3 linked regions of the Tamandua tetradactyla genome follow. The protein of the gene in region 2 purifies or fractionates together with the protein of the main gene of each other region. This does not show direct contact. Links are inferred from orthologs where the notes say so. Each region holds a gene or a part of one and is shown on either strand. Other genes may lie near its edges.

Region 1 (3,744 bases), on a different chromosome or scaffold from region 2:
TAAAATCTGTCTAGTTAAAATTCTTGATTATTCTATTTTTCAGTCTGCCAGTGACTAATATGTCACAAACATCAAAACTATGATCGTACACATACATAATAATTTCGACTTGTCAGCAAGGTCACCTCATGCCTAGAACCCATATTCGCATTTCTTTAACCTACAATGCTTCTGATTCAGAGATTTTGTGCTAGATCCTAAGGTAGTTTGTTTCTATCGGCATATTTTTTTTGTTTTCTTGAAATAAAAAATAAGTAAATATAGAAACAGACAGTAAGTTATTTAAAAAAAAATCCCTCCAGCTTGAGGAATGCCTGTCTTTCATCAGTCTTCCAGAATTTTAATAACTGTTTAACACCTCTTATGCCTTCGGATTTCCGTGAGTGTGCTGGCATTTGCGACACTTCCTTTTTCTGATTTGTCTCTTGATTCATCTGCAGACTCAACCCTGCTAGCAACAAAGTATGTTGAAGGCGCATTTCATCCTCACCCTTGCAAAAATCACTCATCCTTAAGGCAACTGACTCAGGCTGCTCCTCGGGTCCTCTTTTTTTTTTTTTTTTTTTTTTTTTTTATCCCCCCGTCCTGCAGTTTTCTACCTATATATGGTCATGGGGCTCACACAGAAGCCTGGCTTCCCCGGGAACACCGGAAAGTGAAATTTCACTAACAAAAACCTTATACCCCTGGCGGCCGCTATAGTTTCTGTCCTGAAAATGGTGAAAGGCAATGATTAAGGCGGTTGCATCCTCAGGGTGCTTTTACTCAGCCCCTAAGGGAAGACGTGATCTTCACAGAGTGGTCTCCCCTCCCTCCCTCGCCGGACCCCGGGACCCAGAAAGGGGGAAGGGGGGTGGCCGCGGCCTGGGAGACGTGGCAGCTTAGCCCGGGAACGCCGCCTAGCTCCGCCCAGCAGCCCGCCTGGCTCCGCCTCGCAGCCGGCGCGGTCTCCCTCGCTGTAGTCCCGCGGCTGTTCTCCGAAGCCCTGCTTCGCTACCACGTGTGATTGTCCCCAAAACTGCGAGGAGCTGGGCTGCACTTAAACAGAGCAAGCAAGCGAGGCGCCACTGAATGGGGCGGATGGCAGGGGCAGTGGGCGCCCACCACGCTATGCTGCCCCTCGGCGATTCGTTTATTAGGACCCAACGCTGCCTGCTGTTACGCAAAGGAACAGTTCATCCCACTTTAAATATGGAGAGCGCGACGAGGAGAGGAAGTTCCGGGGAGAGAGCAAACCTATACAATGGCCTATCTTGCAGAAACATAACTCTAAATAAATCCATCAGTTTTTTCCTAGCGAAGATGGCCATTCAAAACCTCCAGGTTATTCGGAATGACCAGAGATTTAAGGAAATGTGCAGAAATAAGAAATCTTTGGAATAGGATCTAACTAGCTTTAAATGGATAGCTTTCTTGGTGACATTTCAAACTAGATGTGTAAAAATATCAGAGACTTTATCAGGGGAATTGTTAACGGAATATCACCCAAATTTCATGCTCAAATAAAACTATGATACTTTCGAAATATAACTGGAGAATGAATAGAAGGACATTGACTATTGTTAGAATATTAAAAATATGCAGAAGTCTCACGGGCTTCATAGGTTTTAGACTCCTTTAGGGTGGAGATGATAGTTATTACATTTCTATTACTTCAATATAAGGGAACTCACTGTAGAGCATGGTGCACAAAATAGGCACTCAGTGGATTTGTTATTTAAAACAAATAATAATCCACGATGCAAAGCAATTCAATATTGGAGGCAGGTTTGAAGTGTAATTTGGGCTTTTCCCTACTAATCTGATTTAAGTATGGTCCTATACAGAGGCATAAAGTAGATGTTTAAAGTAACTTTTAGTAGCGTTTCTGAGCCCTGGACTGCCAGGAGATTTCTGGGATCCTGTCAAGGGTTCTTTGGTGATCATGCTGTGTGGCTTTTAGCCATTGCTAGTCATCCTAATCATACCTTACACTTTCTAGTTCCAAGTCCCACTGCCTTTTTCATCCCCAATGTACCTACCCCTACCTTGTAAAAACAAAAAATTAGTGCATTATAGTCAGTATAATCTCACTTCATAATGCCATCATCTCCACTTTCATTATCTGTTCCCTCCACATTTCTGGGTTTCTTTTCTACCTTGGACAAAACACTAAAGAGAAAATCAATTAAACAATAACAACAAAAAATCCCATGAAAACAAGCAAACAAAAAAAGAAAAAAGGAGACTACCGTCTTAATAGTCTGAAAATATGCCCCCCACTTTTTCAGTGCGGTGCAGACAGATGCTGGGCATAAAAATTTGAGTTTTCTTACCTGAGGTCAGGGGACAAAAGACTGTGGGTCGCTGTGCTTAGTTTTCCATATTGAGGCTTTCGTTTTTTTGTTGTTGTTTTAATATAGAATGGAATGAGCAGAATGTAGTTATTGCCTGCCATCTAGTGTATTTAGCTGGAATTTCACCTTGCGGCTAAGAACCGACAGCTAAAGTTCAGAAAACTAATGCATTGATTCAAATAAGGATGGATGAACTCTACAACCACTTCTGCCTTCCCAGCTTCAGAGCTTCACGTGTAAAAAACAATTAAGGGGACCCAATGTCGAACATTTATTGCTAAATGTAGAGCAGAAATGGATGTCCTATCTAAATGAGAAGAATCAAGAAAACTACACTCAAAATACAGGCTTCGTGAGTAACTGCACAGTGTAAAAATATCACAGTAGTTATTAAAAGTCAACTGCATTCAGAATGCTCTTGACGTGACTCCCCAATAGAGAAAAGCAAAAAAAAAAAAATGTATCAGTGTAAAATTCATCTTTCAAACAGAGAAGACGTTCTCGTAGTCACTCTGGTTCAAACACTTTTGACGAATTGGACACAGCGGGTCATCTGAACAGCTTTCATGCTACTGCCAGACTGACCTTCCTTACACACCTTGAAAACCTCCTGGAACCCTGTGGATGAGAAATAAGGAAATAAAGAGAAAATAAAGTTTCTTTTTGTTCCTGGATCACCTCCTCTGTCTGGTCTCATTGTTGCCTCTTTCTGGTTTCATCCGACCTCTACAATCATTTCCCATGGCTCTTCTTTTTTTTTCGTTTGTATTTAACTTTGCACGGCTCTTCTTGAGCTTTCTGCCTACCTCATGAACAAGCCCTGCTCATTGCTGTCTTCAGGTTTCCATCAACCTACCTGCTCTCGCGAGGAATATCTGTCCTTCTTCCCTCCTTTGCCAAACCAAACCCTCCTCCCCCTTCAGGATCCCTGGCACCCTCCCTTGCTGTCAAGTCCTGGAGGAATTGTAGGTTATAGTTCATAGCTGAGTGCTTGCCCAGATACTGTCACATGGTTTGCCATTATTTCACATGCCCTCTCTCCTCCCAAATAGATTGTGAAATGGTCCAGGCCAGACCCTACTTCTTACCCACTTCCGTCTCGCCCCCCACCCCCACCTACTCACCTATGCTTCTGGGGACACTGTGAGCCCAGTGCATACTTTTGGATTGGATTTCTTCATCCTCTCCTCCATTCTGCAAGGCAGATGGGCTCCTATTGTTCTTGCTGTTAGGAATGAGGACCCAGAGACCCAGAGCATTTGCCGGACGTGCCCTTGTCTCCCAGAAAGTGAGCCAGTGGCAGAGCTGGGCTGGGGCCTCCCATCCTTGACGGGTGGTCCTCCTGGCACACTGCCGCAGCCGTCCCGTGCGGAGGGAACTCTCAAGCCGTACACTAAATGCTGCTTTA
Region 2 (3,744 bases):
GTCCATCTCCCCATGTGGGCTTAGAAGTTGTCAGGAGACAGGGAAGTCAATTTACAGAGTGACCACACAGGGGTGGGCAAGGGTGAGACCTGAGGGATCAAAGCGGGGGAGTGTCTCACATGCTGCCTGGGGAGGGTGGGAGAGGGGCTGGCCTCAGCCAGCACCCACAGGGTCCCCGGGGCCCAAGCTAGCACCCATGGGGTCCCCGGGTTCCCCCGTGCCTGAGTCCTGCGCAATCTGGAGGGTGTAAGCACCCACGGGCCAAGCATCCTCGGCTGCGGCCAGCCCGTCTTGGACAAACCACAGATATGCTCCTACCAGCCAGCCTGAGAGCAGCTCCCCAGTGCCCAGGGGAACTGGGGGTAAAACAGGCACGAGGGAATCCCCGCCCCGCCCTTGGGTGCCAGCTGTCTCCACCAGGAAGCTCCTGACCCATGCTGAGAACAGGTTTTGCACACTGCCTGGGTCTTGGCCGGAGGAGGAAGGCAAGTGAGAGCGAGCGAGTGTCCATGTAGGGGCACCTGGGCCAGGATAGAGTGGAAGAGCCATGTCACGTGGGATGGCCCCCAGGCACTGCCACACTGACCCATCATGGCTGCTGCCCTGCTGGCCATCACATCCAACGCCCATCTCCTGCCCCCCCACCCTGTGCCAAGTCACCAACAACCCCGGGAAATGGGACCCCTAGGACAGGGCAGGAAGCCAAGGCCGGACTCCACCCAGCTCCCACTCCAAGTGGTTCAGGGGCTCGGCCAGCCCCACCCTACTCTGTTCTGCATCCCCCCCCCAGGGCCCAGGGGGTGGGTGGGTGCTCCTGTGTCTCAAAGTGCTTGGATAGGTGGCCCACCAGCTCCCGCACAGGGCAGAGAGGCTCAGCTCAGAAGCCGTTCCTGGAGCCTCGATAATAAAGAGCAGCCCCCCCGGGGACTCGTTAGACTGCCACCCCTGCGGGGGGGAGGGGGGAAACAACGGCCGACTGGCCCAGCTCCCAGGGGAGGTGCGGGAGGGACTCGCCCAGCAGGGTCCCAGGAGGCAGGAACACAAGTCCCTTCCCTGTGCCTGTGCCTCCCTTCCAACCAGGGTCGACACCCCCAAATCCAAGCAGAGACGCCACTGGGACATCCCATATCAGTCTCCTGGGGCCAAGGCAGGCAGACTTTAAACATGCTGAAGCCAGCACTCCAGGACCCCCAGCTGGGAACTCCCACCCAGCCCTGGCCAGAGGGACCCCGTGCCCTCCTGCAGTATAGCCCAGCTTGGAGAAGGACAGCACGACCCCTCTCTTGGGTGCTCAGTCCAGTCTCTGTCCCCCCACCCCCCTCCCAAATACCTCACTGCCCCCGCAAGCATCCTCAGTGTCCAGATGGGAAACAGATGTGCCAGGCCCAAACGCGCCTGCCTGGGGGACATCTGCAAGTTTACCCTGCTGGACTCCACAAAGATGCGGGCCACTGTCCCCTGTGAGAGAGGGAGTTCATGCCCGGGATGGAGGGGCAGCAAGGGAAGGGACCCGCGGTCAGGCCAGCCCCCCACCAGCAACCTCCCTGCCCCCAGTCCTGAAGGAGTCTCCCTCTGCTCCCAGATTCCAGGGCTAACGGGAAATGGAAACAAAAGGAAAAGCGCACCCCCGGGGAATTCCCAGCAGTTCAGGCAGGGCAGAAGAAAGCAGCTCCTCCAGGGAGACTCTCCAGTCCCCCAAAAATTCATCATCAGAGGTGACCACAGCATGGGTCCCTCTTCCCAGAAGGCAAGCTCTCGCCCAGGACTTGGGTACTGGTGCCGGGACCCTGTCTTGAGCCCACTCGGGACGCCGGCCCCCCCTCCCCTCCACGGCAGTCCCTCCCCCTCCCCCACACCCACTCCAGGGTGCATGGGAGACAAGGCCAGGGCTGAGGTCCCACGACGGATGGGCAGACGAGGCGGGGGCAGGCACCCCAACACGCAGACACGCCTGAGCCAAGCCCACTGCTTTCCTGACCCCAGGATTCAGAAGCGGTCACAGCGGTTGGAGGCTGGGCTGGAGGGGGGGCTGTGGACGGTCCCAAAGCCTGGGCCAGTGGGCCGACGCAGGGGCGGTGGCCCCGATGAGCTCATGGGGGCGGGGCGCCAAGAGCCCCGCCCCAGCCCCCTCCCGCCCCCCTAAGTAGGGTGGTCCCGGGATCAGCCGCTCGGGAGAGCGGGCTGCGGCCGTCCCCCACCGAGGGGTGCCCGCGCGCGCGGCCTCGGGTCCCGCAGCCCCCACTCCAGTCCCTCATGTGGGGATCGGCGGCTCCGAGCGCCGACGTCACCCCCCCCCAGGGCCCCCCAAATGCCCCGGCCCGGCCGCGCGGCCCGGAGCCCCTGACGCACAGAGGCCCGGGCGTCCCGTAACCCCGCGCCGACCCCGCGGGCAGGGGCGCAGCGACCACGGGCGAGCCCCCGCGCCCCGGGCACGCAGGCCGGGCGCCCACAGGTGGCCCCGCAACTTGGCGGGCCGCGGCCGGGCTGCGCCGCCGCCTGCGCTCGGGCCTAGCCGGGGCCCGGCCTGCGGGAGTCCGGGGCGTCCCCGCAGGAACCACCCCGCCCCCCGACCTCCGGCGGCGCCGCTTACCCAGAAGACGAAATTGAAGACGAAGAGCAGGTACTTGATGCACTTGGTGCAGCCTTCCACCCCCATGGCGGCGGGAGCGGCGGGGGCCGGGCCTGGGCGGCGGGCGGGGGCGCCGAGGGGCCGGGGGGAGGCCGGGGGTCAGGGACGCGGCGCGGGGGGCGCGGGGGGGGCGCGGGAGGCCTGGTCGGTGCGCGCTCGGGTCGCCGCGGCCGCTGCTGCTGCTGCGCGCTCGCTCTCTGGCCGTGCGCGCGCCCCGCTCCGCGCCTCTTATAGGACGCACGAGGCCCCGCCCCTTCCCCGCCCCCCGCCCCGCCCGCTGCCCGCAGCGGCCCGAGCGCGCGGGGCCGCCGGGAGTCCAGAGTCGGGCCCGCGCGCGGCGTGGGGGGTGGGAGTGCGGGCAGTCCATTGGTGTCCCCACGGGGTTCCCGCAGACCAGCGCGGGCTGGCTGGGAGGTCTGGGCCGGCGGGAGGACGGTCAAGCAGGCTGTGCTTCCCCTCATCCCCTGGGAGGGGCCGGAGCCCCCCGGGGCGCCAGGCCCCACTTCCCGCTGTGGTCCCCAAAGCCTGGTGGCCAGGCCCCCGCCCCCGCCGGCTTGGGGCAGTGAGGAAGGGAGACCCATGGGGACGGTGTGGGGGTGGGTGACCCACAGATGAAGTTTCTGCCCATTCTTGCCCAGAGAAACAGGGAGGGCCAGGCAGAGCCCACTCACGGTTCGCCCCACCCTCCGGACCACAGAGCCACCCTTTAGGAGCTACCCCACCCCACCCGCCACTCCCGCAGCTGCCATAGCCGAAAGCCCTGTGTCTGCCTGACACCTGGCTGTTTGTGACCTTTGAGCCGGTGAAGTGTGGCTGGTGCCTCTGAGAACTGCATTTTTAATAGAATTTAGGGGTAGCTGAAATTCGGATAACCAGCCATCAGTCTCAGCTGCTTCTACTTAATTCTGTCGTCTTCTCTGGTTAATTTGTAAATCTGTGTTGGTTTTGTACTTGGACAAGAGCTGCAAGCGTGAGTTTAGAGCTAGTTTTTTGTGCCTATCTATGTGACGTGATAATAAAAGTAAGTCTTCCCCGGGGTCAGGGAGTGTTTGTTTCACTTAAAGGAGACGGAACAGTGATGGAAGGAAACAGTCACCCAGGTGTTCTGGGCACCT
Region 3 (3,744 bases), on a different chromosome or scaffold from region 2:
CAGCCGCCACGCGGGGCCCAAAGATGGCGTAGGAGAACCGGGTGTCCCTGGTGCTGACAATGCCCAGTGCGGCCTCTGGGGCCTCGGGCCTGTACAGGAACCACTCGAAGTCCTGCTGGGCAGGGCCCTCGTAGCCACTGACATTGCAGGAGATGGAGACAGCTGTGCCAGCCACGCGGTACAAGGGTCCCTCGGGGACTAGCACCTCCCGGGCAGAGCATCCAACTCCTGTAGGGCAGGGCAGGAGAAGGGGGTGCCTGGGTCACCATTCTAGCCCCACCACTGCCAACCCATTCTTGACCCCTGCCCATGAATGCAAAGAAACCTGAGGGTAACTGGCAGACAGCTTAGGTCCTGTTCTGACAGCAGGGAAAGGATGCTGGGAGGTAAGACACCTAGGTCTCAAGAAAGGGGTACAGGCCCAATCTTGCCTCAAAACCCATTTCTGGAAGACAAGAAGCGGAGTCCCTAAGGGCAGAAAGGGAAGCTTTGATATTGACTTAGCAATTCCAACTATACCTATCTATGCCTACCCCCGACCTCCCACTTCTACTCCCTACTTCCCCTCTTCCCCCAGTGTCTGCCATTACTCCACCAGAGCTTGGTCAGAGGAGCCTTCTGGCTAAGGAATTCTGAGACCACCTGTCTCCCCTCCCTTGCTTGAAGGGAGCTGACAAACTCTTGCTCAAAAGGGCTGGTTGACTCAACTGTGTCACCTGGGCCAAGAGACTCCAGACAATGGAGCCAGCGGCCCAAGCCGAGACAGGGCACAGACCCAGTCAATTCTCTTGGCACACAATGCCCTCCCCCTCCAGCTGTGCCATGAGCTCACTGTTTCTCCCGCCCCACAGGGCTGCTGAGACATCTGGGGCTTCTGGGGCAAGAAATAGGTTCTGCCCTGGCCTCCAGGGGCAGACGATCCCCTCCCCAGCAACTGCCAACCTTGCAGGCTGGCCCAGCTGCACAAGGCAACCCCCCACCCCCACCCCTCAACTCTCTAAGGAAGCCTACATTTGCATAGAGTGGGCATTCACTCACATATGGCTTCCTTTCTGTAGACAGGCATCTGTCTCCCCAGAGGGGCCAAACCCTGCATCTGTACCCTAACTCCATCTCCACATTCTACCCAGCCCCGGCAGAAAGTCCTGGCAGCCTTGGAGGGCTCAGGTTCTTTTTCCTGTCTTACCATCCTTCCATAGCCCCCACTAGAGAGGATCACAGAAACCCAGAATGTAAGGTCAGCCTCCTTCCCCCATTTTACAGATGTGAAAGGTAAGGAAAGAGAACTATATAGTTTGGGCCAAGATCCTAGGGCCCCTGGGTGACTTCGACAGGCCCGTCCAGGGAGGTAAAAGGGGAGACTCCAAGGCGACGTCTGAGGGGACTGACCTCACCACTGGTCTCATTTCCAGGCCTTCCAGGGGGTTACCCATGGCCTTTCTGCAGGGGATGGAGGGCAATGCCACGAGTCTGTGGTCAAACTCCGCCACCCAGAGCAGCTCCTCCTGACTTCCTCTCCTACCCCAGCCAGCCTGCTGGCTCCTTCTTCCTGTGGCTGAGTCACTGGGGCAAACTCACGGTTGGTTGGTTGAGCAGAGGCTGGGAATTGGGACTCCAGCTGGATGGTCTGAGGCCAGTCCCTTCCTTTGCCAGGCCTCAGTTTCCACATCGGAGAAGAGCAGAGAGCCTCCAGCTCAGAGAGTGAGTGAGTGTGTGACTCAGGAGGGCCCTGCCTGAGGCACGTTTCATAATCAGGGTGATGGGCAGAGACTGCCGAGCTGATAACTTCCCCGGCCAGTGCCTTAGGGCAGACTCTGCTCAGAAAGGTTCCCTCCCACCTTCCTGGCTCCACAACTGCTGATGCCTGGAGATCCCCATGGGAAAGTCACCCCCATAGCCTTAGGAAATCCAGCTGCCACATGTAGTTCTCTCTCTCCAGCCAAGTCCCCTCCTCTCCTCCACCAAGGAGAGGGGAGGGAGAACAAAGAGGCCTGCTCTGGAGAGACTGATTTGAGTTCAAATTTGACTCCAGCTCTCACTAGGTATGGTATGTGGGGCAAGTTACATTTTCCTTATTGGTGAAATGACGCCATTTGTGAAATGAATGTCAGCGCCATATGTGGTGGATGCGCAGGGCTGGGCCGGCTCCTCTTCCATCTCTCTGTATCACACTTCCCCACCTCCCTTGGGCTCCTCTTTGTACTGTACTGCCCACTGGGAAAAAACGATATCTGTGCTAGGCAACAGGGCCCCGCAGCGCCTTCCTTTCTGTACACCCTCCTGCCTTTGGTCCCAGAGCTCCATGGAGAGGACTCCTCTTTGCCATGGAGGGCCCACGGCCCTATGTGACAGGTGGATACTCAGCTTAGGGCTGCTGTGGAGCTCTGAACTAGGAAAAGGCAGCTGGGGCTAGGTGTCTGCCTCGACTAGGGCAGCTCCAAATCCTGCCACCGGAGCCACCGCTACCAACACCCCACCCCTCACCCTCATGATGCCACACTCCTCCCCCAGTTCACCTCCTACAGGGAGCCCTCCAGTTCAGGCCAAAGCAACCCCACTGTCACTACCTCCATGCTGCCACTCAGGGGTGGTCCAGAACATCCCACCATAAACACCCCACCACAATAGATAGGGTGCTTGGAGAGCCCAGGATCAGTCTCCATGGGACCTGGGTTCTGAGGCCGGGAGGCTGAGACTTTAAGGGGTGTGATGACCAGCTAGGGGCTGCAAAACCAAGTGGCATCTGGGAGAGGGGAAGAGGGGCAAAGAGAGACCCAGTGCAGGGCAGAGGGGGTGAGAGAGGGGACTGGCCCCAATCTGAGATAATGAAGTGGGGAGGGGGTCAATTAGGGGACTTATTCAAAGATCATGGGCAGAGCCAGCCCCGGGGCCTCCAGCTAACTCGGGGGCAATTATGAAGATAGGCCGGCACCACACAGGGCGAGCACCCAAGGCCACGCCTGAAGCTGAGCTGGGGACAGAGATTCCAGGGCCTGGGTAGGCCGGCTGAGAAGTGGGGCCTGGTCCCCGGAGGCCTGGTGCTGCCTCGGGACGGCACTTTGGGGGGGGTCCTCGCTGCGCCCCAGCCCCAGGGCCTAGAGCTGGGGTGCTCTCACCCTCCCCAAGACTGCCTCAGCGGGCGGCCACACAGCGCAGCTGGGCACTGAACCCCGGGAGGCCGGAGGTGTTCCGACGGAGAAAGCGGGTGCGAGGGGAAACGCTGGAAGGGTGGGCCGGGCTGGCTGCCGTTGGCAGGCACCTGCCCGGCGAGCTGGTGCCAGGGGCCCGGCTTACCCAGCATTAACAGCAACAGCAGCAGCGGCGGCGGCGGGGGTAGCTGCGTGGGGCCGAGGGCGCCCATTCTGCGCGGTCGGCTCTGGGGAGGCTCCGGGGGGCGGCGCAGGCTCGGGGGGACCGGGGGCGCGGGGGGCGCATGCCCAGGTGGGGGGCACGAAGCAGAGCAGCGAGGCGTGGGTGAGCTAAGCCGAGCCGAGCGGCAGAGGCCAAGCCGCCTTCCTCCTCCCCTCCTCTCCTCCTCCTCCCACTGCTTTCCCTCCCGCCCTCCGCAACTCCCGGAGACGCTTCCCGCCCGGCCCCGCCCCCTCCGTCCGGCCCCGCCCCGCCCCGCCCCCGCCCCATCTCAGGCTCCGCCCTCTGCCCCGCCCAGTCCAGCCTCAGGCCCCGGCTACCGCTGCAGCCCGGCAGAGCTGGCGGCACCTCGGCTCAAACACATTCACACCCGCC

Evidence for each region.
Region 1: the proteins of CD81 (region 2) and ITGB1 purify together in Homo sapiens (affinity purification with western blotting; 4 studies listed by BioGRID and IntAct, with this or other methods). This does not show direct contact. The link is inferred for Tamandua tetradactyla from reciprocal best matches to the Homo sapiens genes CD81 and ITGB1.
Region 3: the proteins of CD81 (region 2) and IGSF8 purify together in Homo sapiens (co-immunoprecipitation; 3 studies listed by BioGRID and IntAct, with this or other methods). This does not show direct contact. The link is inferred for Tamandua tetradactyla from reciprocal best matches to the Homo sapiens genes CD81 and IGSF8.

The regions. Positions count from the first base shown.
Region 1 is NC_135327.1:218,127,675-218,131,418, reverse strand, and holds the start of ITGB1 (integrin beta-1), read right to left. Parts: upstream 2,341-3,744; 5' UTR 2,316-2,340; intron 1-2,315.
Region 2 is NC_135335.1:2,268,344-2,272,087, reverse strand, and holds the start of CD81 (CD81 antigen), read right to left. Parts: upstream 2,711-3,744; 5' UTR 2,657-2,710; coding exon 2,591-2,656; intron 1-2,590. UniProt on the Homo sapiens protein: Structural component of specialized membrane microdomains known as tetraspanin-enriched microdomains (TERMs), which act as platforms for receptor clustering and signaling.
Region 3 is NC_135330.1:13,139,171-13,142,914, forward strand, and holds the start of IGSF8 (immunoglobulin superfamily member 8), read right to left. Parts: upstream 2,441-3,744; 5' UTR 1,670-2,440; coding exon 1,579-1,669; intron 229-1,578; coding exon 1-228. UniProt on the Homo sapiens protein: Member of the immunoglobulin superfamily (IgSF) that links tetraspanin-enriched microdomains to the actin cytoskeleton and plays several important roles in innate and adaptive immunity.